Elephas maximus indicus: one gene and its partners. The protein of the gene in region 4 interacts with the protein of the main gene of each other region in a pairwise test. Links are inferred from orthologs where the notes say so. Each region holds a gene or a part of one and is shown on either strand. Other genes may lie near its edges.

Evidence for each region.
Region 1: the proteins of TRIM42 (region 4) and YWHAQ interact in binary tests that used the Homo sapiens proteins (3 or more experiments, as listed by UniProt). The two-hybrid records come from large-scale screens. The link is inferred for Elephas maximus indicus from reciprocal best matches to the Homo sapiens genes TRIM42 and YWHAQ.
Region 2: the proteins of TRIM42 (region 4) and KCTD9 interact in binary tests that used the Homo sapiens proteins (3 or more experiments, as listed by UniProt). The two-hybrid records come from large-scale screens. The link is inferred for Elephas maximus indicus from reciprocal best matches to the Homo sapiens genes TRIM42 and KCTD9.
Region 3: the proteins of TRIM42 (region 4) and STK16 interact in binary tests that used the Homo sapiens proteins (3 or more experiments, as listed by UniProt). The two-hybrid records come from large-scale screens. The link is inferred for Elephas maximus indicus from reciprocal best matches to the Homo sapiens genes TRIM42 and STK16.

What each region holds. Positions count from the first base shown.
Region 1 is NC_064830.1:19,016,732-19,024,576, forward strand, and holds the start of YWHAQ (14-3-3 protein theta), read right to left. Parts: upstream 3,021-7,845; 5' UTR 2,911-3,020; intron 2,359-2,910; 5' UTR 2,232-2,358; coding exon 1,938-2,231; intron 1-1,937. UniProt on the Homo sapiens protein: Adapter protein implicated in the regulation of a large spectrum of both general and specialized signaling pathways. Binds to a large number of partners, usually by recognition of a phosphoserine or phosphothreonine motif.
Region 2 is NC_064840.1:48,272,646-48,279,883, forward strand, and holds the start of KCTD9 (BTB/POZ domain-containing protein KCTD9), read left to right. Parts: upstream 1-4,234; 5' UTR 4,235-4,285; coding exon 4,286-4,333; intron 4,334-7,238. Other genes in the region: CDCA2 (cell division cycle-associated protein 2), read right to left, coding at 2,213-2,383, 2,482-2,551. UniProt on the Homo sapiens protein: Substrate-specific adapter of a BCR (BTB-CUL3-RBX1) E3 ubiquitin-protein ligase complex, which mediates the ubiquitination of target proteins, leading to their degradation by the proteasome.
Region 3 is NC_064824.1:117,833,572-117,840,998, reverse strand, and holds the start of STK16 (serine/threonine-protein kinase 16), read right to left. Parts: upstream 3,008-7,427; 5' UTR 2,958-3,007; intron 2,954-2,957; exon of another isoform or gene 2,904-2,953; intron 2,616-2,903; 5' UTR 2,512-2,615; coding exon 2,426-2,511; intron 1,880-2,425; coding exon 1,660-1,879; intron 1,357-1,659; coding exon 1,223-1,356; intron 1,055-1,222; coding exon 934-1,054; intron 811-933; coding exon 715-810; intron 339-714; coding exon 217-338; intron 89-216; coding exon 1-88. Other genes in the region: GLB1L (beta-galactosidase-1-like protein), read left to right, coding at 4,610-4,666, 4,843-5,009, 5,265-5,415, 5,601-5,661, 7,188-7,282, 7,374-7,427. UniProt on the Homo sapiens protein: Membrane-associated protein kinase that phosphorylates on serine and threonine residues. In vitro substrates include DRG1, ENO1 and EIF4EBP1. Also autophosphorylates. May be involved in secretory vesicle trafficking or intracellular signaling.
Region 4 is NC_064841.1:18,931,701-18,938,760, forward strand, and holds the start of TRIM42 (tripartite motif-containing protein 42), read right to left. Parts: upstream 3,019-7,060; coding exon 2,678-3,018; intron 1-2,677.

The DNA of each region.
Region 1 (7,845 bases), on a different chromosome or scaffold from region 4:
TGCCTCGGTCTCAGGTTAATCAAGCTAAACTCTTCTATACTCTATTGGTATAAAAACTGCCCTACTTTCAGGGGCTCTCTTGTACTGAAATGATGTGTATGAAAGGACTACTCTTCCAAGCCTCATACCAACCAAGCAAACTCTTTCACTTGTCAAAGGTAGCGTGAATCTCTTCCACTTATGCTATCATAGAAACCGAACTTTATATGAGCCACAAAATAAAACAAATATTCCTTTGATTCAGAGTTAACTTGCAAGAGAGCAGGAAAAACCTTGTGCCAATCCTGAATTGCTAAGGCAAACTGCAAAACAATAATTAAACAAATAACTGTGAGAGCACCCTAAAGGAATATACAGAACACCTTGTCCTTAGTATATGGAGTTCTTATCAGTCTTCCCCCTCAATAAACAGTCAATACCATCACCAAATACTATTGAAGCCTACCATCACTTTCAAGTTGGCAAGTTTCTTGAACACAGGCCAATTTAGATCACAAAGCTTTTCGAAGCGCCTTCTCTATGCGAAGCAGGGACTAGAAGCTAAGAACACATAGATAAATATAATACAGTGTCTCACCCTCATAAAGCAAATAATCTCAATAACGTGTTGCCTTCTTTAGTACACACCCAGAAAGCCCCTTTACCGGCTATCTCTATCAGCCACAGTTTTGTTTAGACTGTTATATGTATTACAAAAACAGGTAAGTTAAACCACACACACGCACGCAGGCACACACACACACACGCACGCACACACGCCCTGCCACACCAGTCTGATCCCAAGAAAGGAGAAACGTTCGGCAAAGAAAGGGGCAATTTCCCCATTCCTCCTTTAAAAAATCACCAGCTTACTGGCTCATCTTTCAAAGCCCAACTAAAATACAATTTGGAACAAACTCGTCAAAAATCAGTATGCCTCTTTTAAAGTGGCACTTAACCAAAAAAAAAAAAAAAATTAAGGCAACCTATGTCAGAGATTCTATATTTTACCAGTAGAAACAACTCTTTGCATCATCAGAAACATTTAAAAATACACCAGGAAATAATGCTAGTATTTAAATTAAAAAACTTAATCTTATCGATTAAAAATAACAAGAGTCTGTCCAGGCAATGACAAAGCTAAAAATGTCATCTATCACTAATAAGGGTGAATCACAGCAGTCACCTCCTCCACCCAATAGCCACCTTTGCTAAGACTGAACAGCTTAAAACCTAGAAAGCTTTCCTTGCCTACTTCAAGCCAGAAATGAATTCACTTCAAATACTAAAGTTTAAATATAGCTATGCAATAGCAGGAAACTATTAGGAAATAATAAATTTACCAGGACATTTTGTTCTTTAGACTTAGTTCTGCCTTCTTCACAATTTAGCGCGCCCCCACCCCCGTTTTTAACGAGAAGCCTAACAAATACTCTTAACTGAAAAATGAATCATGCCTTTGGATTTTCAAGATAAATTTCTATTACTAGAGTATAGGAGGAGACGTTACTACACATTGTCTTATCAAAAAGGTGACTGCATCTTCTTTTAACTCTGAAGCATGTGAACTGATTCAATATTTAAAGGGTTCACTGATGTCCTCTGTAAGCCGTTTCCCAGGACAAGACGCTTCAGCCCTGCACATGTACAAACCTACTGGGACATTTGAATCCATATTGTGTAGTAGCAGCCTAGAACTGGGGAAAGATTCACTCATTGCTGGAAAATCAACTTGAGTCTCAAGAACTTAAATTGAATAAAAAAGGCAAGGATAATAACCTTCTCAGAGCCTCTACATTGGCGAACAATTAGGCAAGCCCTCGCCCCCCTTTTTTCCCCATTCCCATGAAATTCTCAATGAAAGGCATTACACAAAAGGGCCTCGGCGCTCCAGACACCCGATTCTGACGCCCCCACCACCCATTCTCCCACCACCGAGACCACCAGTCCAGACTCACCAGGACGGTGGTGCAGATGGATCTCAGTTCAGACTCCACTTTCTCCCGATAGTCCTTAATCAGCTGCAACTTCTTGTCGGAGGTGTCGGTTTTCTGCTCGATGCTCGAGATGACCCTCCAGGCGGACCTGCGGCCCCCGACGACGTTCTTGTAGGCCACCGAGAGCAGGTTGCGCTCCTCGTTGGACAGCTCGGCCCCCTGCTCCGTCACCGCCTTCATGCAGGTGGCCATGTCGTCGTAGCGCTCAGCCTGCTCGGCCAGCTTCGCCTTCTGGATCAACTCCGTCTTCTCCATGGTGGACAGGCGGCGTGCGGGGCTCGGGTGGCGGCGGCGCTCCGGGAGGGGACGGGGAGAAGAGACAGGCAGAGACAGCGAGGGCGGCGAGAACCAACCCGGATCAGGAAGAGCCCTCCTCGAAAGCCTGCGGGAGGGGCGGCGTGGGGAGCGCCGAGAGTGGCGAGATAGGAGCCGAGAACAAAAAGGAGGGGGAGGAGAGCGCGCACCGTCAGACAATGCGGCCCACACCCCGCCCAGCCCGCAGGCCGGCCCCGCCGCCCCGGGCCGCCCGCCCGCCCGCCTGCCTTTTGTCTCGGCGGCCGCGGCGGAATTGAATTTCCCTCTCCCCCCCGCCCACGCTCACCCGCCTAGGCACCCCGGGAGAGGCCGGCGGGGCGGGGTCGGCGGGGCGGCCGGGGGCTGAAAGGCCAAGGCCGAAGGCCAGGGAGGCGGAGGCGGCGCCCACGCGGCCAGCCAGCGGCCCGGCGGCGCGCGGGAAGCGGGAGGAAGGGCCACCCCCGCCCAGCCCGGGAAGCCCAAAATGGAAGCGGTCGTCAGCCCTGCATTTTCCCCGCCGATCGCTGCCTCTGAGGAGACTGGCGTCGAGAGCCAGCCGTGGCCGAGGGCTGCGCCTCCCACCCTGCCCTGGAGCCCAGGAAGGCCGGAGGAGGGGCGGGGGAGCGATCCCGGCGCTCACCTTTACCGTCTCCGCTACCGCGACGCGAGTCCCACCACTTTGATGTGCTTTTTAGCTTTAGCGAAGGACCCTCCCGTCTCAGCCTACCCCGGAGCCGAAGGGCGGGCAGCGGCGCGACAGCCCTCGCGCCCGCCGCCCAATGATACGCCGCTCTTCCCCCAAGAGTCCCACCTCCTACTCCGTTACCAACCAATGAGGACTAAGCGCGCGGAAGGGGGCGAGGGAGGGGGTGGGGTGGGAGGGGAAGCGGAGGACAGGAGGGTGGGTCGCATTTGGCAAAGTTCGGTTGGCCGGTAGGCTGCGGCTTCGGCCACGGGGTTTCCTCCAATTAGATCCAGGGTAAAAGGACGTCACTGTTGCCATGGTGATGCTGTTACCAACTCCCCTCATCCTCCCCGCCACCCCCGGCGCTTCTGGGTGCGGCACGAGACCGAGAGGCTCGCAAGACCTCTCCCGCGGTGGCAGAGTCTCTTTCTGCAGCAGCCACTGCAGATGGTGCATTGCATCTTGTTGCCTAATGCAGCTGCAGCGCTGGTCGGTCCTGACTGAGGCTGGGCTTCGGAGGGTGACAGAATGGGCCCTCTCGCTGCACAAGCGCCTTTCTTTCCTCCACCTTCCTATTCGTGACAAAGGTTTGGAGCTCAATATACTAAACCCAGCCTTTAATGACGTTGCGATTAGGGCAGCAAATTAGAAACAATCTCATCCCCATTAGAGAAGATTTAGTTCCTGGAGAAAGTGGCTTAAGTGTGGCTTTTACCTGATAAATTCAAGTTTTCCGACGGGTACCTAAAAACTAAAATTCCCCTGCATAAAGGTAGATCCAAGGAGGTCTAAGCAGACTTATCTGACAATGCTAGTTAGCATGATTTAAAAAAGAAAAAAAAAATGACATTAAGGACCATTTGGAGCAAAACACCCAGAACCTGCTCCCCACATCACAAGCAACTAATTTTAAATTTCCACCTTTTCTATATTTAATGCATTTAAATACATTTTCTTTTCACATCACTATTTTATGTGTAACATGGTTTTTATTTTCTGGCGTTATTTTTGAGATGACACTTGAAAAGCCAAAATTCTCTCAAGACGTTGTCTTCTGTTTTTCTCCTCATGGTGAAACCCTTCTGAAGTGAAAACGATTGCCCCAGATGCCTTGTTTTCAGGGTGGCGCCTAACATCTTCTTGTTCCTTGCCTAGCCTCCACCAGCTACTTCTTTCTCTGCTGGCATTTCCCCAGCCCCTCAAGTCCAAGTTAGGTCTTCTAGGTCTGGGAAGGGGCTTGGTGCCATCTTGGGATGTAAATTGCCATCTGGGCACACAATGTTATGATTCCAGTTCCAGCAAGGGAGAATGGATCATTGAAAGCCAAGGAGTGCCACAGCCAAGTAAGAATTTGAAATTCCAAGTGGAGACTGAGAGCAAATCTGGAGAATCTCTAGAATGGAAGACCTGAGAGTGCAAACAGATGGGAGGAGAGGATTCGGACTTTCCAGAAATTTAAACTCTCTCCCAGCTGCCCCTCCCAGTCCTGACTTCTAAAGGTTGCTTTGTATCTTGACAGACAGGAGAGGCCTGATTTGGAAAAGGCCTGTGTCTTAATACAGAAATGCCTTACTATGTTCCAGCTTTCTAATGGAGGGCCCTGCTGTTATTTCTGGAATCCCTGGGGCTGGGCTGTAGACACACGAGTGTTTATGGCCATGTGGGCTGGGGTGGAGCCGGACACGGAGAAATCCCAATGGAAAGAATTTGCATGTAGAAGGTCAGATAAAATGCTTTCTGTATAACCAGTGCATTTCAAGTTTACTGGAATTAGAAACAGCAAGGGCAGAAGCCAGTGGAGGTGGTGGTGGTGGGGAGACACTGGAGGGGAATCGTCAGGGGACTGAACATCAGTGGTAGGGAGAGAGGGGTCACCCAGAAGGGGCGAGCACACTAAATTCTTTGTCAGAAAGCCTGGGTTGTACTGCCATCTCGCTGGGTGACCTTGGGCAAGTTTTTGCTGCTCGCTGTACCTCAGCTTCTAGAAAATTCCTACTTTCATTCAATCATCAAATATTTGTTGAGCATCTGCTTCACATGGTGACAATCATCTGGAATCATGGTGAAAACTTCTTCGAAAATTTGGCGCACTGTGGAATTGTAAAGTATTTTATGAGGGTCCAGAGGGATAAGTCTGTATACCTAAAGACCTCTGCACCCAAAAGAGCTCAAGTTGGAGAAAAATAAGACTCTGAGAGCTTGAATTCCCTGGACACATAAAGTACTAACATTTATTTTAAGTCTCTTATAAGCATTGTAGGTATTGACTCGACGGCACTGGGTTTTGTGTTTTGTAAGCATTAACTCATTTAGTCTGCTTAATACCTCTATGAAGTAGGTATTACTATGATGAGTGTCTCTATTATCTCCATTGAGGCACAGGAAGGTTTAAATATTATGCTCAGTGTCACACAGCCAGTGAGTGGTAGAGCCTGAATTTGGACCCAGGCTCTCTGAGCTCTGATGGCACAGTGGTTAAGAGCTACTATGATCTCCAAGGAAATAAGTGAGCTACGGTTGCTAACCAAAAGGTTTGCAGTTTGAATCCATCAGCCACTTCTTGGAAACCCTATGGGGCAGATCTACTCTGTCTTACAGGGCCACTATGAGTCAGAATCAACTCAACGTCAATTGGGTTGGTTTTTTTCTGGTTTATGCCATGGCTGCCTCACCAAGTTTCCCCAGATCTTTGCTAGGTGCTGTGGGGGCTTCTAGGAAGGATCAGACAAGTCTGTTCTCTAGAAGTTTCATTCTAATAAATACGAAATATGTTAAATATCCACATCCAACGTGCTGAGAACCCTCAGGAACAAACAGCTAACAAAGTACTGAGAAGTCATTGCCTTATTTATTTGATGTTCTTGTTATTTTTTTCTAAATGACCTGGTGAGAAGAAACTGATGGGACAGGGGGAAGCACACTGGACCTGAAACCAGGAAATCCTAAATCCCACTCCACTGTTCATTTGCAGTTTGACCTTGGACACCTTATTATCCTTTCTTAAACTTGGTGTCCTAACCTGTGATAAAACCCATTGCCATTGAGTCGATTCTGATTCATAGTGACCCTATAGGACAGAGTAGAACTGCCCCATAGGGTTTCCAAGGAGCGGCTGGTTGATTCGCACTGCGGACCTTTTAGTAAGCAGCCAAATTCTTAACCACTGTGCCATAAGGGCTAAAAGTACATTTTCACCTCCCATGTGGGAGACCCAGCTTCGATTCCCAGCCAATGCATTTCTTGAGCAGCCACCACCCATCTCTCGGTGGAGGTCTGGTGTTGCTATGAGGCCGAACAGATTTCAGTGGAGTGGCCAGACTAAGACAGACTAGGAAGAAAGGCCTGGAGATCTACTTCCAAAAATTAGCCAGTGAAGCCCCTGTGGATCACAGTAGTCCAATCCCCAATCAATTATGTGGATGGGGTATAACCGGGCAGCATTTTATTTCTTTGTGCATGGTGTCACCGTGAGTTGGGGGCTTGACTCGGCAGCAGCTAACGATAACAGCAATAATAATCCCTACCTCAAAGGGTTGCTGTGATTAAATTTCACTTAAGAAAATGCCAGGCATATAGCAGTGGTCAGTTAACATGAGTTTTCTTTCCTTCTGCTTAGGGTGGGGACTCAGGGCAGGAGGGAGGTGCTTGTCCTGCTGCAAGGAGCCTTAGAGTCTTCCAAAATGTTAGTGAAAGCTTATCTCTTGAATCATGGTTCTAATTAGTGGAGTTAATGGTCTGCAGAATGGCTACATTCAGTGTACATTCCAGAAGGAATGAGTCCTCTGGTTGAGTTTACTCTCATCAATTGTTTCATTGGTTTATTTGCCCAGCACCATGGATCATCAGAGAGGAATCTGTTCCTCTCCTACCATATGGCAGGTATTTCACTGACAAATGTTTGAGTGGAACTTTTCACCCAAAAGGCCCGTATAATTATTATCAATACTTCTGTTTAAGGGATAAAGAGTTGCACCCCCTCCCGCCTTTAGCCAGCCCTGAGGTGCTAAATGAAGACTCACTTAGAGCCAGGGTCAGGTGGAAAAAGCCAGCCTGGTCAGGAAAACATCTTCCTACACATTCCCTGGCTTAGGGCCAGGGTTAGGCCTAAAGCATTATCCTTCCATCAGCAACTGCAGCCGGCAAGGTTTATTCCTGCCATCTGCAGGCTCCCCAGTCAGTGCACTTAATTGCTTCATCTCTGACATCTCCTGGGCACCCCTAAGCCACACACTGTTTTCAAACTCTCTTTCTTCCTACCTCCCTGTAAGTGCTCAGGAAAAAAATGTAATAGACTCATTCCATCACATAAAAAACTTGTAAGTATTCAAGCAATATTTCTTCTGCCATTATTTGCATTTTAAGATGAAAGACAGCTCTTAAGTCTGAAGAATAAAACTTTAATGGTAGAATGGTAGGCATTCTAAACAGCTCTCAATCAGCTGGCCACTTGGGGAAGCGCTTTAGCATTCTGACATTTATCCAGCATTTTCTGTACGCCGGGCAATCAAGTTTGTTTGTTTTTTTAAATGCTCAAATGTTTTTGTAGTGATGATAATGGTGATGACGATAATCTTAATAAGGAATGTAATACCACTCGTTATACAAAATAAAAAATCAAATGCAAAAATGTTAAACATGAAAAGAAATTAAGTGTGCAAGAGAAAGTAAACAGGGGTTGGGAGCCTACCTCTGAGAGGTTATCATTGTTTTCATTTTGGTGACTTCTAAATAATCTCTCTTCATTTGTACACATGTGGCTATATGTGTTGGGAGCCCTGGTGGTGCAGTGGTTAAAGCGCTCGACTGCTAACCAAAAAGTCGGCAGTTTGAACCCACCAACCACTCCACGGGAGAAAGACATGGCAGTCTTCTTCTGTAGAGATTTACAGC
Region 2 (7,238 bases), on a different chromosome or scaffold from region 4:
TGAAAATCCTATGGATCACAACGGTCCAATCTGCAATTGATCATGAGGATGACGCAGGACCAGGCCGCGTTTCATTTTATTGTTCTTGGGGTCGCCATGAGTTGAGGCGATTTGATAGCAGCTTTAACAACAACATACCCACAGGCTGAAAGGGAAGGATCTCCACCTAGGCACATGAACTCTATCAAGTTCTTAATATTTCAAGACAATTTTGCTTCTGTTAGTATATCTATAGCATAATGACTTGTCTAAATTCATAAGCGATAAGAATCAGGATAAGCGCAAAGTTGGTTTCTATGAGGCAGAAGTCAAGCCAATCTCCACCTTCCTTTTTCATTATTTGACACCAGCTGCTCGCTTTGAGTTGGAACTGACTCGATGGCAACAGGCTTTAGGCTTTCCCTACAGCACTTTCTACTTCTCTGCTGCGTTCGATAATTCATTGTAACGGCCACACAGAACTCAAAGATCATACTCAGTTATGTGGTTTATTAGGGAAGTAAGAGGCTACAATGCAGGGTCAAGATCACCTTGGAAGTAACAGGAACAACTCAGGATCAGTGTCAGGAAACACAAAGACAAGGTCTGGAAGAGTCCCCAAAGTGGAGAGCACATCCATGCATTCTTCAGTGCAGGACAGCTTCCGAGCAGGACAGCTCTCAGAGCAAAAAGGATCATAAGCAGATAAGCTCTCTGCTGAACAGCTCTCAGCAAGCAATCAGTGGGCATAGTTTCTCTGCTGGCAGCTGCCTTCTTTGCTGGGAAGATGCCTTCTCTGCTGGGCAGGCCTCCCCACCACGAGGCTCTTAGCTGTTGCATCTCTTTGCCCTTTCTCTGCAGACTGGTTCAGCAACACCAGCACTGCTGTCAGCCACTAGCTGGCCCAACTCATAGCCAGTGTAGCAGCTTGCTAAGGTGCTCTCTCAGCTGCAGCTTTTTTTTTTTTAACTGGGACTGGGAGGGTTTTAAGCACAGGACTTCTGTGTCAAAGACACACTTGCCTCCCAGCTCTTGTCAACCAAGTAGCCCTGAAAACCTACACTTCAGTCCTTTATATATACCAATGCTCATCTCTTAGAATGCAGGGCCTCCCTCACCAAGCCAAAGTTCAAACTCCCTGCTGTCAAGTTGATTCCAACTCACAGAGACCCTGTAGGACAGAGCAGAACTGCCCCATAGGGTTTCCAAAGCTGTAAATCTTTATGGAAGCAGACTGCCACATCTTTCTCCCACGGACAGGATGGTGGGTTTGAAGAACCAAACTCCAGGTTAGCAGCTGAGCACTTAACCACTGCACCACTAGGGCTCCTCCACCTCAGTTCAACCAATACTCCACTGCCCAGATGTCAATCCACTCAGGTCTTCTACAACAGTAACATTCTCTACAGGCAGAGATTGGCCCTCTCCAGGCAAAAGTAACAAGCTGTGGTAGAATACAGCTTGGGAGGTCTCCCAAATTTTTTTTCCAAAGAGCAAATTCAAAGGCCACATAAAGGAACTCATTGTACCACACTTACATACTTCAGCATAGTACCCTGAATTCTGGCCGTGTGTCCAAGTACCCTGAATTCTGGCCGTGTGTCCAAGCACACAAAATGCACCTAGCTTTTCTAAAAGTGATATTCTTGAAGAGAGAACACCTTGGCCTTGTCTCAAACATTGCTTAGCTTAGTGCCCCTTGACTTTGCAGTCTCCCATATCCTCCATTTCTAAATTCTGTTCCATTCCTTTGTTTCTTTCTTCACCTACAACAGAAATTCACAGGTGACTTTCCGCTCCTTGGAGATTAGCCCCCGAGTCAATTTTGTTTGTGATTTTGAAAGAAGTACACCCCAATCATTCCACATTATATTTTAATTGTTCCTCAATTTTCTCTTATATTTGCCATTCCTGAACATAAACTGTTTTACTATTTATAGGATATATTCTCTTACGTCATGTCAAAAAGGGATCTGTACACATTCTTTCCCACTGGGTATACAGCACATCTCTGACTTAGGAACATTATCACACTGGCCAGCTGCCTGATGTCCTGCTATGCTGGATGGCTGTGCAAGTGCAGAGAAGTCTCCTTGGGCAAGTGAGCTGACAGAATCAAACATTTTAGATACATAAAATAACAAGATAAACAGGATGGATGAATAAAAGTGAATTATATTAAGGTTATCTTTAAAATTGAAAAGCACTACAATAGAATGACAATTTCTGTTACCTGGAGTGTTCTTAACAAAGCTTTCAGGTGTAATTCCCAATTGCTCTACAGTTACAGTAGAAAAGTTCAAAGGTGATTTAAATATGTCTGGTCTGCAAAGATTAGGCGTCACTTCTGCTTCATGTTTCTGAGTTACAAGCTCCCCATTTCCCAACATGAAAGAGGTATTTTCTGAAACAGACAGTAATATATTGTTGAGGCTAAACGTCATTATCAAGCAAAATATCTATGCCTTAGTTTCCACAAGATCACAAGAGATCACTACACACCAGCATTGTTAATAGCAGACTCTTCGTCCTTCGTTTCAAGGAGCTCCTTGCCTTTTAAACTGGTATCCATCTAAAAAAAAAAAGAAAAATATAAATAACTCCACCCCAAAACTTAATGTGATTCTAGCAAGATCCTCATTCAACGCTGAATTCTAATACAATCTACAAAGGTATGTAGATGTCAACAGAGTACTTCTGCAGCTCATATTAAAGAAATGGGGGAAACTGCTATTCAGGACCCTACACTGTTTGCCATGGCTTTTCAAACCTTAGTGAACACCTGAATCATCTGGGTAACCTGTTAAAAATGCAACTTTGTGGAGTCTCAGGAATTCTGATTCCGTGAATCTCGATGGTCCCTGGATTCTGCATTTTAAAAAACATTCCAGGTGATCCGAGTAGGTTGAATGAGGGCCACTGTCTCCGAAGGGCAGGATACACCCTTAAGAAACAGCACTGTTGCACTGTATTTGAAGCCCAAACCAGGGCACTTGTCCTACCTCTCACTCCCGCAACTTTGACTTCCTGTCGCTTCGGTTTATATTGAAATCTCTGCAGCACACGAGAGACGGTGTCAGCAAAATTGGGGGGAAGGCCTGGTACGATGTCTCTATCTCTTCAAGTTTCTTGACCTCGGCTCTACAGGCCTGAAGGTTCGGCTTGGGAAATCAACTGTTGCTCGCTAAGCTGGCAGCCACCGGGGCTGAGCAGTAGCTCGTAAACGGCTGCTCCGCCGTTCTTCTCTCTGGCTCCTGCCCACCTCAGGGTTCCCCGCCGCCCGACACCACAACCGGGGAGGTTCCCCTCTACCTAAACACTCACCTCCAGCCGCTCCGCGATCCCCCGCCGCTGAATTCAAATCGCCGACCCCGCCTCCTCAGCGTCAGAGCGTAGCCCCACAGATCTCTACGCCGGCAACCAGCCGCACGTGTCCACTTGCACCTCCAACTCTCCCAAGCCTCTACCTCGCTGTCGCAGGAAGCGGACTCGCTGCCTGCACTGAGCGAGAAGCCACCGCTAGCTGAGGGTGACCCATTGGCCAGAAAAACCAGCTTCTATCTTGGGTTATGGGACTACTTTCCATGTAAGTCTCGCGGAGTAACCCTTCGGTTGGCACTTCAGCTCCGCCCCCCACTTTTCGGTTGGATGCTGCGAACTTCGAAAAGAACCTTTGAGCCAATCAAGACAGAACGACGGGCGGGCTCTTACCCAATCAGCCAGTCCTGGCTGCAGCCGTTTCCTTTGTGGGTTGAGAGTGGGCGGGGTTAGAGCGGTGTAGGTCACTCCTAGCGCTCCGCTCTTTTCCCCAAACCCCGCCTTCATATGCAGATAAGCTCTTCTTGTGCTGCCTAGTATTAGTTTTGCGCCTGCCCAGTTATGCATCGAGCGGCCGGTGGGCTCCGGGTTCTGCTCTAATTGGCTGATAACCCTTCCCGTCTACAACCTTTCTTCCCTCCCTCCACCCCGTCTGGGTTCGTATGAGCCCTCCCAGTGCAGGATCATGATTGGCTGAATGCCGGTCATTCCTGCCCGTTGATTGGTGGAAATTAGAGTCAGTCTCGGAGCGGTGGGGGAAGGGCCCCAGGCAGGCTGAGGAGCATAGGGGCGGGGTGGGAAGGAGGACCCGCCAACCCTGGGGTGTGGGACGGAGAGTGTGTATTTGTCTGTGAGTAAGAGAAGGAAGGTGGCGAAGGGAGGAGAGTCCAAGTGGGTGGAGGGAGGGGAAGGGCGGGAGGAGAAAAAGGTGGGAGGGGAAAAAGGTGGGAGGGTGGCGGCTCACTCAGGACCTGGTGGGGGCAGCGCGATGAGGCGGGTGACCCTGTTCCTTAACGGCAGCCCCAAGAATGGAAAGGTAAGGGGGTCGGGAGGAGGTGAGGCGGGGCCGGCTCTGGGGGCGAGGGCAGAGGAGTACAGAAAGAGCTCGCAGGGCAGAGAGAGTCGGAGGGCAAAGGGCTGAAGTTGGGTAAAGGGGCTGGGAGGTGGGCGCGGGGGGTGTCCGGGAGGTGAACATCGGCCTCCCGCGGCCTCCTCCCAATCCTAATTTCTTGCCTAAGCTTGCCCTTCAACTTCTCAACTGCCCCGGGGACCGGTGCAGGTCAGGCTTGTGCTTAATCGTTCCCAAATCCAGGACCTGGGTCCGGAGAAAGGAGGGGACCGAGGGTGTGGGGAGGGACGCTGTCACCTGAGACCTTAGTGCTGATGTTCCTGTTTCCATCTAATCGCCGAAGACACCGCTTCCCCACCCCTGGTTCAGCTGGGTTGTAGAAGGCTTGTTTCCACCTTCGTGCTGAGTAATGGTCTGCTCAAGAAAGTGATAGTAATGATGAAGGCGTTGTGAGATTGATCAGGTTAAAGAAAAAATTAAACTTTTTATCAGTGGGTTAATAAAATATTCCTTCATTCAAAGTAGAACAGAGGATTGAAAATTGGGAGGCTTTCTTGATTTTTTTTACCCCCTCTCATTTAGGTGCCCCAAGCCCCCAAGCCTGGCCGCTGCCAAACTTCTGTACTCGCTTTATTATTTCGCTTTATTTTAGTTCCTTAGAGGACTGAGGAGAGACCAAAATGGACTGATTTGGCAGTACTGTTTGCTGTGTGAGGGTGTGGTACTAAATATTTCTCCAAGGTCAGAGCAAGCCAAAATGAATCCTTTTCCTTCTCAGGCTCTTGCCCCACCCATAAAAGTTGTTCAGCTTCTTTGGAAATTTTGACTGTTCAAGGCACATATATTGTGTGGCTAAATGATATCTAGTAAGTGGTTAAGCCTTAGATTTTAAGGTAAAGGTAATTTGGTCTCACTGAAATTATTTGCTAAATAGTTTGCTTCCTGCATATTCTGGAAAGAGGAATTTTTAAATAGTGACATTTTGCAACAGTATAAAAATGGCTTTCCCACTATGCTGTAAGTTTGAGTAAACATGTTCAAAATCTGAACCACAGTGTGGTTTTTTGGTTATAATTTTGTGTTTTCCTGGTCTTGGAGACTTAATACTCATACAAAAACAGGACTGGGATAAATTCAAGTTTCTGAATTTTCATAAATGGTAACTCAAAATATGCTTCATAAGATTTACATTATTTCTGTTAACTTTTTCTAAACCTATTTTGTGGTTAGCTACTAAATCTAAAACTTACATTGTCGCTGGAAGAAAGATTTAGTAGTATATTATAATATGTTCTCTAAACCAAATCTCTACTTGACCTTTTTTATCCAACACCTCGACTCGACGGCAGTGGGCTTGGTTTTTTTGGTTTATCCAACACCTCTGCTGTGTTACTCATAAAAGACAAGATGTTAAGACCCAGTTATAAATATTTAACTGTGCCCTAAATCTCTTCTGAAACCACTGAATTTTGTTGCCAAAGACTGGCTGAGTTGGGCTCTCCATACTATTTACAATAAGGCTTTTTTTTTTTTAAAGCTATCTAGTCTTAACTAGGTTAGATTTTTGGATATAAATTTTATTTACTTTAAAAATGTTTACTAAAGAACCTCAGAAGATTAGAGAAATGCATCTTAAATAATTAAAAATAAATATATTACAAAGATTATACAAACATAAACTGGAGGTTGCTAGTGTGATTCAGTATTGAAAATAAACCATGCCATAATCCTTACTCTGTTGGAATACATATTAAGAAATCTTTTTTCCAAAGAGCAAAATTATCAATGTTTCCTCTCCTCTCCATTAAGCTGATTAATAAACAATATTATAATTACTCTTATTTGACGAAAAAGAGCAGGATAATACATAACAGTCTACATATATATCTCTGAATGAGTTCCTGGGTGGTGCAGATGGTTACACACTCAATTACTAACTGTAAACTAACAAAGTCTGGAGGTTCAAACTCACCCAGAGGCGCCTCAAAGGCAGGCCTAGCAATTTACTTCCAGAAGGTCGCAGCCTTGAAAACCCTGTGGAACAGTTCTACTCTGCACACACGGGGTCGTTATGAATCAGAATTGACCCAACGGCAACAACTACATGTAAACATACATATAAATATATGTACACACATATATATGTCCTGTTTAGCCAGGGATGGTATTATCATGACACGAATGTTTGTTAAGAACATGCTGAAGCAAAGAGCTAGTTTGATTTCCTGTCCACCAGTTAGAGTATCTGTGTCACTTTCATTATCTCTCTATTTACTTAGCCTCTATTATTGTTTCCTGGCCATAAGAATAATCTGTTTTTCCAAAAAGTTTTCTTTCCATAATGCTTGTTGAGTGGTTGCCAGGCTTGGCCATGAAGCTCGGTGAGGAGGCACGGAATTATTACAGGAGTCATCGTATGCTCACCGTGATACCTGTACACCAACTAAATAAAGCTAGTGAGTGTTTTGATGTCGAAGAGAGGGGTATGTGTTCTCTGAAATAGTGGTTTCTGGAGTGAGATGATGTACCACAAAGGATGTAAAAGGTGATTAGCTGGAGTTTAGGAAGAAATAGTATACCTTTTATTTACATTTTTCACTTAAAAATATAAAATAATATTAAAACTATTTTTTTAATCTAGAAAGACACCAGCGTCTCCAGTCACTGGATGTGTCAGCTGGTCACAAGTCTTCTGAAAGAACAGGATGTTCACATGTGAAAAAGTTGATAGCTGCTTCCTTATTTGTTGATTTACTTTTGTTATATTGTGATGTATGGAAGTTTACTGATGCTGGGTTAAGATATATATTATCCAGTTTCAACTGAACTAACCTTCACCAAAAAGTCAAGTGGCTTTAAAAGATTCCTTTCA
Region 3 (7,427 bases), on a different chromosome or scaffold from region 4:
CTGACTGAGAAGGACAGGAATGAGAGGGCGCTGCTGGGGGTCCACAGTCATCATGGAAGCCACCAACTGCCGCAATGCTGAAGAATGCCTGTAGAGGGAGGAAGGCAGGCTGACTGGAGGACTGGAGGGCAACCCATTCCCCGCTTGCTAAGGCCCCAGCGCAGCTAACACCAGAGGGAGGTGTCTGAAACACTTGGTGTCCCTTTTATTGCTTACCTGGAGCTTTGTGGAATGCTGAGCTGGTTCTGCACAGCAAGGGCCACACTGTCACCCTTCTGGAACACCATGTCATAAGGGCCTTCCCCAAACATCATGGCATACAGCACACAGCCTAGGGACTGAGCATACCTGGGTTACTCTCTGGAAGGGAACTGATGGAGGTAAGACCCATCCCTTGCTGCTCAGTCAAAGGGCACTATCAGGGCCCACAGAAACTGCCACTTATCTGGAGGCCTCTGTATCTCTTGCTTAGCCACTGTCTTTAGCCCTGACATGTAGCTGTACCCACCCTGCTCAAGGGCAGGAATTATACCACTTCCTGAGCAGTTGACTACAGTATCTGTGACAGTCCCAGGAAGGAAGCCAAGGAGGATGGGGACATACCATGGTTCCTGGGGCCTCATGCAGTAGAAACCACAGATCTACCCTCTACTGCACAGTGAGTACAGAGCAGCAATCCTCCCCTGCCCAGGTTCCCAGCCATATGCTCCTCACCCAGACGTCAGTCTGCTCATCAATGACACAGTGGCTCTGCACGGAGAAGAGCTCCGGGGCCCGGTAGGAGATGGTGCATCGCTGGGCCGCCCAGTCCTGGAACAGTGGCCCCAGAGCTCAAAAGTGGGTCACAGGCCACAGTCATGTGACCAAATTGGGGCATGCCCCAGAAGGGACTGAGGATGGGGAACAGGTGGACAAACAAACCTGGAGACTCACCTGCAGGGCCAGGGCCTGGCGGGAACCCTCCACGTGGATACGTGCTTGATTCATGGAACCCAAGTCCATTAAAACAGGCTGCCCCTCATCTCCAAGCAAGATATTGGTGGGCTTTAGGTCTCTATAGTGAAGTGGGAGTGAATCATGAGCATCCCTGGACAGTAAGGCCAAAATCCCAAGGAACAAAAGAATCATGGGGGCTGTTGCTTGAAAGGAGAGCAAAGACTTCCCATTTCTTTTGGTGAGGCTCTTCCTCTTTGCCCAGTAAGTAGGGGATCCTCCCACTGACCTGTGGGCATAACCCTTGGCATGAATGGCCTCAAGGCCTCTGCAGATACCCAGCAGCAGCAGCAGGATTTGGTCCTCAGTCAAGAAGCTGCCTCTGTCCTTCAGTCTCTCTATCTCATTCCACAGCGTACCTCTCTGCAACACAATTTCCCCAGTTTTCCTGAGCCTTCTGTTCGCTCTGTCAAAGCCTATCAACCTGTTCACCACACACACCTCAGATCCCACAGTCCCACTTAAAATCAAAAAACCAAACCAAGTGTCGTTGAGTCGATTCTGACTCATGGCAGCTCCATGTGTCCCACTGGGGTTCCTCTAAACCCCAAATCTGAGTGGCCAAACCCAGGACATGGTCCCTGCTTCCTACACATTTGACTGCCCACACAGCCCTTAGTAAGTGGCTCTATTGCAACCCCCTCCACATCCAAGAGTCCTTCTGACCTTGAAGAAGGGTAGCAGCAGCCAGGCCTCATGTTTCGAGCCCCGCTCCCTCATACAGTAAGCCACGAGGTGGAGGATATTGGGGTGATGGAAGAGCCGATGCATGTCTGCTTCTCGCTGGGCCTCCTCCCGGTCCTGCTGCTCGTGACACAGAATTCGCTTCAGGGCGTAGAAGTGTCCATCATGTAACCCCTCCACTAGGTCCACATAGCTGAACCCACTGTGGGCCAAAGGGGTCAGTGAAGGACCACGGTCATCTCCCGCAATGCCTGCACCCAGAAGAATTCCCTGGGGGAAGAAGGCTGTATTTCCCAACTAGTAGAAACCCATCTGAAGACTATCATACTTTGAGCTCCTCGAGAACAGCGACATAGTCATTTCTGAGGTACTACGATCGTAACACAGAGTTCTGTACTTGGCAGATGCTCAATAAATGTTAAATGAATAACAGCCAACATTTACCAAGTGTTTATGGACCAGGCACTGGGCTTGCCCTCTTATACACATCATCTCAATCCTCACAACTCCATCAGCGAAACATGATTATCTCCATCAAGCATATGACAAAACCATGGCTTACCAAGGTCACACAAGGTAGATCTAGGAGGCCTGGCTGCAGAATTCACCTTTTTGACTACCATGCAGCTAGGCCCCGTTAGGTGACTTAGAGGACAGAGTTAAAACCCTTATACCCCTGTCATGTATGGATTGGTGTCCTTCAATCACCATAATCTGGGAACTCGCTCAGTGATTTCCAAACACTCACCCCTCCCCCAGTTTCTGTATGAAGAGGTAGCGCTTATTGTCAATGACGACAGTTCCCCGAGAGCAGACACACAGCGCATGGCCCATAGTGTCTCAGTCATCCTCCTCAAAGACGGTCTGAGGCTGCAGAAGAATTCGTTCAGGATGAGTGGGCTCTTCCAGGCCATGCACTGAGGGCCCAGCAGAGCATGCTGTAAAGAACAGAAAGGAACAGTCGCGACGACCCCTGAGGTACCAATGCGGAAAGCAGAGGCCTGGATCTGAGGACCTGGCGACACCAGCTCCAACAAGGCTGGGGTCAGGTGCCTTAAAGCCTCAGGCCACGTAACAACTACCACGCCGCTTCCGCCAACCTCAGGCCACCTTTGGGCGGCCCCCGCTCCCACGCCCGTCGGGCCGTAAAGGCAAGGCAGGGCAGTTCGCGGGAGGTGCGAGGCTGGGGCCCACCCCTTCCAGGACCCATCCCTTCTAGGACCCACCCTCGGCAACCGCGCGCAGAGCCCAGGGTCCCCCAGCCCCGGCCCCCCACTGACCTGGCTCGGGCGACAGGGACGCGCTAGCGGCCGGAAACAGTGGTTACATCATCAGTCCGCGCCGGCATAACGGCCCGCGGTATCATAGCAACCGCTGGGCACCCGGACGATGTGGGGGCGCCGCGCTGCGAAGCCCGGGGCAGGCTAGGCCTGGGGAGGACGGGTCCCAGGCGAGGGGTCCCACCTGGCCTTCAAGACGCAGGCACTTGAGCCAAAGGGGAGCAAAACCGGGCCCGGCCCTAGGCCCCCAGGACCTCCATCTCCCAATGCCCGAGGTAGGGGGTCTCATACCTCCCGCGCTCTGGGGCCAGAAAGCGGCCGTCTACTGTACAACCCGGGGACACAGGGAGAAGCAGGTGCTCGAGGTCTGGACTGCTGGAGCTGTGAGCTCTGAAGCCACACAACCTCCAGGGCTCTGGCCCGGATCCCACCACTCTAGGCTTAGTGGTTAAGATCAGACTCGTGAACCAGACTGCCAGGGTCTAAATCCGAACTGAACAGCCTACTAGCTGTGTGACCTCGGGCAAGTTACTTAACGTCTCTGAGCCTCACTTTCCCTAGTCTTTATCCTTCAGCCTTTCTATCTCATTGCACAGCGAACATCTGGGATACAGGCCGTAGTCCCAAAGGTTGTATGGTGCCTATGGTTACCTGCCTGAACCATGAAGCCAGACTGCTGAGTTCAAATCCCAGTGCTACTGAACTAGTGTGTAACTATGAACAGGTTACTTAATATTTCTGTCCCTCAATTTCCTCATCTGTAAAATGGGGATGATAATTATCTACCTCAGAGTTCTTTGAGGATTAAATGAGATATGAAGTGCTTAGCATAATATCTAACACATAGCCTTCAGTAAGTGTTAAAAAAAACAATAACGGTAATTATTACTAATTACCCTGGTCCTCACATCCCAGGCTTGGGACTGTGAGGGCAGGAGGAATGGAGACTGACAAATTCCCAAATCTTGGCACCAAGCAGTTATTCTTAAAATCTCTTGCTCAGGCAGGCAGGGATGAACTGGGAGAGTGGGATGGGGATAAGATGGAATGAATGGCCAGGACGGACCCTTTTTCTCAAACAGGGCTTTCCAGGAGAAACATCCCTTTTGTAACCTGGTTCTCCGTTTTCATACCCCGATCATGGGGAAGATTGTCTGAGGTTTCCCTTAGTTCTGAACAGGCGTTAGCCCCTGGTTCTGACATTCATTCGTCTATATTTAACCTGCTGTGTGTCCACTCTGGAGGATTTAAGATGGACCAGGCACTGCTTGCCTTTAGGGAGTTATTCTAGTAGAGCTGTGATTCTCAGTCTTGAATGTGTTTAGGGTCTCCTGAGGATGTTGTTAAAATACAAATTCTGGTTCCATAGGTCTGAGAAAGGACCTGAGATTCTGTATTTCTAACTAGCTCCCAGGTTATGCTGACGAAGCTGGTCCGATGGATTGCACTTTGAGTAGCAAGATATAGAGGATTTTACAATCTAGTAGAGTGGCAGGTGGCTGCAGGCTGGAGACAAAAGTCCAGGGTAATCTTCTGGCAACTTGGGGTGGTCTCCGCCCCCTTGCTCACTGAGGTTCCCTCCCAGGAATCCCACGTGACGGTTGGACCTCAGTCTCAAAACTAGGAGCCCTGCAAGCGCCGTGGCTCCCAAGATGCCGCCCTGCCTTCTCTCTCTGCTGCTGCCGTTCCTGACGCTGCTGCTGCCCCAGGTAAGATAAGAGGGTTGAGCCGGCCTGCCGGGTTCGATGAGGCCGGATCAGATTCGGCGGATGTAGGGAAAGTAAAAATAATAACTGGCGGGGCTATTTACATATTCTCCGCTCTCGGCAGACGCTGATCCCCACTGCAGACCTCTGCTGAGCAGCGTCTCTACTTTAATTTGCAGGCAGACACTCGGTCTTTCGTAGTGGATCGGGATCATAACCGGTTCCTCCTGGACGGGGTTCCGTTCCGCTATGTATCTGGCAGCCTGCACTACTTCCGGGTACCGCGGGTGCTTTGGGCAGACCGGCTTTTCAAAATGCGAATGAGCGGCCTTAACGCCATACAGTTGTAAGAAGTGCTCAGAGAGCCGTGGAGAGGCGGGGCTTACCCTTCGTACCACCCCCTTAGGAGGAAGCTTGGGGCAGAAAGACTGGCACAGGATGGAGAGGGGTTGGAGCACCAGGGCTCCCAGGCCAAGGGTGGGAAAGGGTGGGCCAGGACATTTTTCCAACTGCTTCCTGGAGATTTCCTGCAGAGCCTGAGCCCTTAGGCCTCACTGGTATCTCTCCACTTTGGGCCCTGTTAACCTCTTCTTTCCTCCAGTTACGTGCCTTGGAACTACCATGAGCCAGAGCCTGGGGTCTATAACTTTAATGGCAGCCGGGACCTCACTGCGTTTCTGAATGAGGCAAATAAGGCGAACTTGTTGGTCATACTGAGACCAGGACCTTATATTTGTGCAGAGTGGGAGATGGTGAGTTAGTTGGAGAAGGGATAGAAGAACCAAAGCCACCCTTGTATGATTCCTAGACAACTCCCTTCTGCCCATACTGTAGGGCCACTTCCAACACTGCACTGAACTTCCTCCCTTCCTACCTCCCCCACTCCACCCCAAAACAACAAAACCTACACTCTTCCTTGTGTTTATGTTTCTCTCAGGGGGGTCTCCCATCCTGGTTGCTTCGAAAACCTAAAATTCATCTGAGAACCTCAGATCCAGGTGAGTTGAGACAGAAGATTCAATAGAAGAAGGCAAACAACAATTGGCTCAGGTATCAGAGAAGGTTTTCTTGAGGAAGCGAGCTATAATTTAAGCATGAGTTGCAATTGGCCAAATGAAGGAAGTGGGGACAAAAAAAATGTCAGGCAGAAGTAATAACATGCATGAAGACCTGAGAGTGAATCACAGAAATCACAAGTAGGAGTTGAGAATTTAAGGCATGCTACCTTTTTTACCTAATGTAAACCAGGGATCTTTCAATTGATGGCTAAAATCGACCGGACAGTGCATTAGGGTACAGGTTACACATTACACATTTCTGTGAATTCACAGGCCACTTTATAGCAATTTGAGGCATAAGCTGATTACATAATAATAGCTCTATAAGGTTTAAGATGTATTTAACATTTTTATTACAGGAAAAAAACAAATGTGTAAGAAACACTGCTTTAAGGTCTCCTATGTTGAAATTCCATTGATATGCAAATATATGAGTGCTTAGGGTTGAGTTTCTTCTGACAAGAGTCAGTCAGTGCTTCCCAGATTTAGTTATGTATAAGTGGGATAAACGGAGAGAAGAATGAAGTTGTCAAGGATTTCATTTTACTTGGACCCACAATCAACACCCATGGAAGCCAGCAGTCAAGAAATCAAACGACGCATTGCATTTGGCAAACCTGCTGCAAAAGACCTCTTTAAAGTGTTAAAAAGCAAAGATGTCACTTTAAGGACTAAGGTGCACCTAACCCAAGCCATGGCCTTTTCAGTCACCTCATATTGCGTGTGAAAGCTGGACAGTGAAAAACGAAGACCAAAGAAGAATTGATGCCTTTGAATTATGGTGTTGGCAAAGAATATTGAGTGTACCATGGACTGCCAGAAGAACAAACACATCTGTCTTAGAAGAAGTACAGCCAAAATGCTCCTTAGAAGCAAGGGTGGCAAGACTTCATCTCACATACTTTGGGCATGTTATCAGGAGGGACAAGTCCCTGGAGAAGGACATCATGCTTGGTAAAGTAGAGGGTCAAGAAAAAAGAAAAAGACCCTCAACTAGATGGATTGATATAGTGGCTGCAACAATGGGCTCAAGCATAACAACGATTGTGAGGATGGCGCAGTTCTAGACAGTGCTTCGTTCTGTTGTACATAGGGTTGCTATGAGTCAGGAATGACTTGACGGCACCTAACAACAGCAAGTGGGATGGAGGAGCCCTGGTGGCACAGTGGTTAAGAGCTCGGCTGCTAATCAAAAGGTCAGCAGTTCAAATCCACCGGCTGCTCCTCGGAAACCATATAGGGCAGTTCTACTCTGTCTTGTAGGGTCACTGTGAGTCGGAATCGACTCAGCGGCAATGGATTTGGTTCAGATAAGTCAGATGGAGACTGCAGCCCCAAGTATAGTCAGCATGGAAGTTGCTAGTATTGACGCTGGTTGGTGTGTTTGTGTATGTGTGTGCAGAGGTTGTGGTAGCCCCTAATGAGCAGAGCACTGTGGGCTCAGAGAGCGCGGCTTCTTCCTTTAGACTTCCTTGCTGCAGTGGACTCCTGGTTTCATGTCTTGCTGCCCAAGATATATCCATGGCTGTACCACAATGGGGGCAACATCATTAGCATTCAGGTACAAGTGAAAAGTTGACTGGGCAAGGAAAAGGGGGTGTAGGAGGTCCTTAACCTCCTCACTGAACTCCTTTTTCCCTTCTTCCTGGCAGGTGGAGAATGAATATGGTAGTTATAAGGCCTGTGATTTCAGCTACATGAGGCAC
Region 4 (7,060 bases):
TGGTGTTCTTCTGTTGAACATAATATCACTGAGCACCAACATCATTCAAAGCCTCTCTGGTACTGTGATGGAGCAAAACAGAAACAAGACGACTCCACAGTCATGTCTGAACTTAGACAAAACCAACAACATTGTCCAAACCACAAAAACGCCCACACATTCCCCTACCCTGGCTAATAGGAGTGGAGTGACTGCTACTTCTTTCCCAACTGCAGCTTTATGCTGTCTTCTTTCCACATTTAAGGTAAGATTTATTAAGATATCCAATAAGAGACTTACACCGACGTTCTCACCTAACATGAGTCCAAATCCTGTAACTTTTTAACGTCCTTTTATGGAGTTACCACACAGTTCCCCATGGTATATGATCTCAGTTGTTGCAATGAGTCAATAAACCCATTTTTTGTTCAGCTAAAAAAATCTGTTGCCATCGAGTCGATTCCAACAAATAGTGACCCTATAGGACAGAGTGGAACTGCCCCATAGGGTTTCCACAGAGCAGCTAGTGGATTCAAACTGCTGACCTCTTGGTAAGTGGCCAAATGCTTAACGACTGCGCCACAACTACAGGTGTGTTATCGGTGGTTTTGCCTGGAGAGTATTGAGATTATTATCATTACTGTCAATAGGATGGAACAGAGAGTAGGGTAGGTAAAGGGCTTTTCCCAGGACATCAGGAGGTCAGTAGTAGACAGGCGTCAACAGCCAAGAACCTGTGTGTCCCAACCACCAGACTAGTAGGTAACAATTCAGAGTCCGGGCTCTAGGGGAAGATTATATGTGATGGAATGTGCCAGCTTAGAGCTGCTCCTTTGGGATGAGTTTCTTAACCTCTCTCATCCTCAGTTTCCTCACTGGTAAGTCAAGGCTCACAATAATGCTTCTGTCATGAGACTTTTACAAAACGTAAATAAGATAATCCATGATAAGTGCTGAACTGCTGGTACGTAGTAAGCTTTCAGTAAATGTGCCCATTATAATTACTTTCCTCTGTTACTAGTTGTCTAAGTCCACAGTAGAGGAAAACAGTGGTCAAGTCCATGGAAAGTGTGTGCTGCTACTGTTCTGGGTGTATGTGTTTAGTCTTTGTCTGCTTACGTTATGCCAAATGCCTGAGGCTGATTTCCTATATTTAACCATAAGAACTATGAGTGAAGTAAAAGCATACTGGTAAAATTCATGTGTGTGTTCTAAGAAGCTCCAACCAGGGCAAAAGCAGTGTATGAAAAGAAATGAATTAGCTGTGGGAATGGAGGGGTAAACACAATTTGTGGCTGTACCTATCCCTTTACCCCCGTTGACATTGATAAGGATTACATTTTGATCTTGACCCTGTGGCTCTGTTCCTTTCTGCCTCGACTTCTTGCATTTTCTGTATGTCCCTGTCTCCAGGTGATTCTAATGCACAGCAAAGTGTGGAAGTCACTGGCCTGAGTCATTTCCCCAAAGCACCAGCCAATATCATCCCAACTCCACTGAAATGGGCTCAGAAACTCTTTCTTGCTGATACATAGAAAACAGGGCAGTTGAGAGGAAAGGGGTTTGTGGATACAATTTTCCACACCCTAGAACTTCCTGACTTGCATGCAGAATCCCTGGATTCATGCAAACAGCAATAAGAGGTCCATGGGTAAAGGGTAACGTTCATTAAGTGTCTACTATGTGCGTAACTGCAAGATGGATCACACTCCTCTACCCTGAATTCACTGAACCTTTGCGCACAGAAGTACTTTTCCAGGCTTGAAAGGCCTCAATCCTGCCTCCCGTTTCTCTGCCTCTCCAAGTCCTGCCACCTTCTAGGGATGAGCTTTCATCTTTCCTCCTCTAAGATGTCTGTCCTTACTTCCCTGTGCTCTGCTCATCTGTGATATAAAAAGACTGGTTTGGCCAAACTAAGAAGAACATACAGAATGCCTGGCATGGAGGGTTAATACCCCAGATGGGTACTTGAGACCCTAAATGTAAAGGCTTGTGGATGGGAAAGAAGGAAAGGCTGGCAGGAGTCACAGGTGCCAAGGTACCTAGATAAGCCATAGGAGTTAAAAGTGGCCGCTGAAAGTCATCACTTACTCAGTAAGTGTTGGCAATATCAAGAGTTCAGAGGAGAAAGGGGAAGAGCAATTTCTGTTTTTATATCACATAACAGGTTACAAAGCATGCCCTCATACCCACCACATCATGGCAGGTATTGTTCTCTCCGTTCTACAGAACGGCCTTTTAAAAGTTAAGAGCATGGACTCTAGGTTCAAATCCTGACTTTGCATCTTACTTGTTGTATGATCCTGGGAAACGTAGCCTCTCAAAGGCTGGGTTTCCCCATGGGTACAGTGAAGATGATGGGAGGGTTAAATGGGGTCCTGCATGCAGTGCCTGACAAGTTGCTGACGCACTCAGCATTAGCCACGGTACTGTCACTGTGTACAGATGAGGAGGCTGAGGGCCAGTGCTGCACTCGGTCATGGAGTTAGTGGAGCTTGGATTTGGAACTCAGGTCTGTAAGTGGTTAGCACTTGTTTAGGATACATTTAATCACTACAAAATTCTTGGTCTCTTTCTTTTCAGGTGGAAAAGTGGGCCCAGGGGGTACCTGGCCTGCCCTGTGGGCCCCGCAGCTGGCACAGGGCCCCTGGTTGTCCTGAGCCAGCGCGACCCCACATTGGAGACGCCCGGCACTTACGAAGTGCGGATGCTCTTGAGACGGCCCTTCTTGAACGTGATGGTGGCATTGCGGCAGCAGCGGCTCTCGTAGTAGTGGCACATGAGATTGCTGCTGGCCGTGCAACAGCACTTGCAGTTGGGGTCGTTGGCCCAAGAGCAGCAGCACCAGTGGCAGTTGGGGTTCTCGGAGCAGGTGCAGTGGCAGCATTGGCAGTTTCGCTCGTCCTTGTAGGGGCAGGGGAAGCAGGTGCAGTTCCGCTCCGAGGTGAAGAGGAACTTGCAGCACAGACAGGAGCATAACCGAGGACAACATCTCTGCCATGTACAACATGGAGAGCAAACACACATAGCAGTCTCCATGGTGCCTACATGATGGCAGCCTGCCCCTTAGGACTTTTGACGCCTCCTCTACCAGAGTCCCGCTGTTACTTCTCCAGTAGAGGGGTCCCTCCTCCCCCTGATGAGGCTTCAGCTTGGTGGCAGCAACAGGTTGGCTGTTAGGAGGCCTTCACAGGTGATGTCCCTACTGGGAGGCTCATGGGCTGTTATTTACGCATATCAGCCTGAGGCTTTTTGCTTATGTCACAATCCCTGTCTCCCCACCATTATCTCACCACCCTGTGTAGGTGGGGCAGGAGGGTGAGACGTTGGGGATGGCAGCGGGTGGACTGATGGACACTCCATGCTTCCACAAGACCAGCTCCAGGGGAGTGATGTTACAATGACATTTTGAAGGTTTAGCTGTCACTCGTCGCCTTTCAGCTTATGGGCTGGATTTCAGAAGCTGTTTCTCCTTGCTTAGTGCTGTGCTTGCAGTTTGGGCAAGCTGACTTCAAGGTATGTCTGCATGGGCTACAAGGCCTGGGTGTAATTAATTGGGAAAGTAGACTGACATGTTTTTCCTCTCCTTGGGCTTTTTCTGCATAGAGAGAATTCTTCATTTGATGAACACAGTGTTTACAAATACTAGCAATGCCACACTTAAAGGGATATCATCATTTGGAGAAAGAATTAGAGGAAAAAAACAGATACAGGCACAATTAGGCACTTTCAATACTTAATGGTTTTGTCAGTCACTGCATAATCGCTGCTGATTTTCATGAGGCTTCAAGTATAAGTCGGAAATCCTGGTGGCATAATGGTTAAAAGTTCAGCTGCTAATCAAAAGGTTGGCAGTTGGCATCCACCAGGCGTTCCTTGGAAACCCTATGGGGCAATTCTACTCTGTCCTATAGGGGCACTATGAGCTGGAACAGACTCGACAGCAATGGGTTTGGTTTTTTGTTTTTTTTTTTTAGTTTCACGTGTAAGTCACTATGAGTGTTTCTTGGTTTTTCTGCAGCTTGATGGAGTCTGGCTGAGGCCCAAGCTCTGTTTACTTTCTCTCAGTCTACTCCCATCCCAGCACCTCTATTAGCAAGAGACTAGAACTTCATATGAGAATCTTTAACTGGGCTGAAGTTTCCTTGTTCTACTAGTATATATACTCTGAATCCCTAGAAACCAGACCTTATATTATAGGGGAGAATTTAGATTTCTACTTTATGTAGCTTGCAGAAATTAAAAGAGCAGACATTTCATGATTATACCACACTGTAATATAAACACTGTCTTATTATTTTCCCAAAACGAAGCAGAAGCAAGAGTTGAAATTTAGCTGCAGGAGTCTTTTGCATAATTTATTATCTCTTCTTATGATTATCACATTCATAATAGGAAAGAGCATTCACTGGGTGCTCTGTGCCAACCACATGTTGAGTCTAGATTCCTACTAGTAAAAATCCTGGGTGATAGGACATGTACTTTATCTTTTTTGATAGATATTATTAAATTGCTTGTTAAAGTGTATGTGCCAGTACATTCTGACAGCAACACTGTATGAGAGACCTAAAAATTAAACAGTTAAACTCATCAAAAGACTTCTCCAAAAGAGAACCTACTATAGACTGGGAAAAAAAAAAATTTGGCTGTGATATAGCTGACAAGGGTCTAATCTCTAAAATTCATAGAAAACTTCAACGCCTCAGCAACAAAAGGAGAAACAATCCAGTTAAAAAATGGGCGAGGGATATGAACAGACACTTCACCAGAGAAGACATTCAGGTGGCTAACAAACACAGGAGGAAACACTCATGATCATTAACCATTAGATGCAAATCAAAACTACAATGAGATACCATCTCATTCCGACAATAATGGGACTAATCCAAACACAAACACACACACACACCACAGAAAATAATAAATGATGGTGAGGTTATGGGGAGATTGGAACTCTTCTACACTGCTGGTAGGAATGTAAAATGGTACAGCCACTATGGAAAACAGTATGACACTTCCTTAAAAAGCTAGAAATAGAAATACCGTATGATCCAGCAATCCCACTCCTAAAGAAATAAGAGCTGTGACACAAGTAGATATATGCACAGCCATGTTCATTGCAGCATTATTCACAATAGCAAAAAGATGGAAACAACCTAAGTACCCATCAGTAGATGAATGAATAAACAAACTGTGGTACGTATACACGGTGGAATACTAGGCAATGATAAAGAATAACGAATCCACGAAACATCTTCCACCATGGATAAATTTGGAGGGCATTACGCTGAGTGAAATAAGTCAATCTCAAAAGAACAAATATCGTATGAGACCGCTGTTAAAAAAACAAGAAAAGATTTACACACACACGTTGTTTTGATGATTACCACCGATGGGAGGGGGAAGGAGGGAAAAATAGAAGACACGTGTTAATATTGGTGAAGGGAAAGGCAATACAAAATATGAGGGAAGTCAGTACAACACGACCAAGGCAAAAGAAGAAACTGAAAGGAATGCGAGAATTAAGGACCCCTACGGTAATTACTGTAACATAGATAATCCTGCAACAATAGTATTAACAGTAATCTATGAATGGATACACAGGTAAATAAGTATGCTAAAGAGGTGGGGGGGTGGGGTGTAAGGGAGCACACCTACCCTGCAGATATAGGTTTGGTTGTGGATATTTCTACATATATAATTGTAGGTGCTGCAAGTATGTTAATATAGACAATAGAGCACACAAGGGGCACAGTCATGGAAATTTCTTAGCCATAACCAAACACCTCGATGAAGTTCCTAGGCTTAAAGGTGAAGGACCACAGACTCGGGGACATCTACTTCAATTGACACAACATAGTTCATAATGACAATTGTCTGCATCCTACTTTGGTGAGTAGCATCTGCGATCTTAAAAGCTTGTGAACAGCCATCTAAGATACGACTAATTATCTCTTCCCATCTGGAAAAGGAGAGCGAAGAAAACCAAATACTCCAGTGAGCAATTAGTCCAAAGGACTAACGGACCACATAAGCCACAGCCTACATGACCCTAAGACTGGAAGAACTAGATGGTGCCCAGCTACCACTACTGATCATTCTGACTAGCATTGCGACAGAGGGTCCTGGACAGAGTGGGGAAAAAAATGTAGAACAAAAAATCAAATTCACCAAAAAAGACCAGACTTACTGGTCTGACAGGGACTGGAGGAACATCTGAGGTTATGGGCCTAAGACACCCTTCTGACCTGGAACTGAAGCCATTACCAAAGAGCACATTTCAGCCAAACCATAGACAGGCCCATAAAATAAACAATAACACCTGAGAGGAATGTGTTCCTTAGAAGTATCAATTATATGAGATCAAAAGGACAACATTTGCCCAAAAGCAAAAATGAGAAGGCAGGAGGTGGTAGAAATCCAGATGAAAGGAAACTGGGAACTCAGGGTGGAATTGGGGAGAGTGCGGACACATTGGGGGAATGCAACCAATGTCATAGAACGCTTTATGTACAAACCATTGAGTGGGAAACTAATTAGCTCTGTAAAGTTCCATCTAAAGCACAATTAAGAAAAAAAAAAGCAACCCAGTGTATGAGAAGACACCTTTTCCCCACGTTTGCCCAAACTAAATTTTACCAATATCCTTCCCCATCTTTCAGGTACAGAGGTTTGAGTTTTACTCCTGGATATATGGTTCATTTTCATCATTGGTCTGTGCAAGGTTTCTCTTGTTTTTTTTTTTTTTGAGATGATTACATACCATAACGTTTCCCATTTTAAAACGTACATTTCAGTGGTTTTTAGTATATTAACAAGATTGCATAACCATCATCATATCTAATTCCAGAACCATATCTAATTTCATCACCCTGAAAAGAAACTCTACCCAATAGCAGCCACTCCCTGTTCCCTCTTCCCCTAGCACCTGGAAACCATTAATCTACCTTCTGTTTCTGTAGATTTGCATATTCAGGATATTTCATAGAAATGAAATTATACAACATATGACCTTTTGTGTCCGACTTTTTTCACGTAGCATTATGTGTTCTAGGTTCATCTATGTCGTAGCATGTATCAG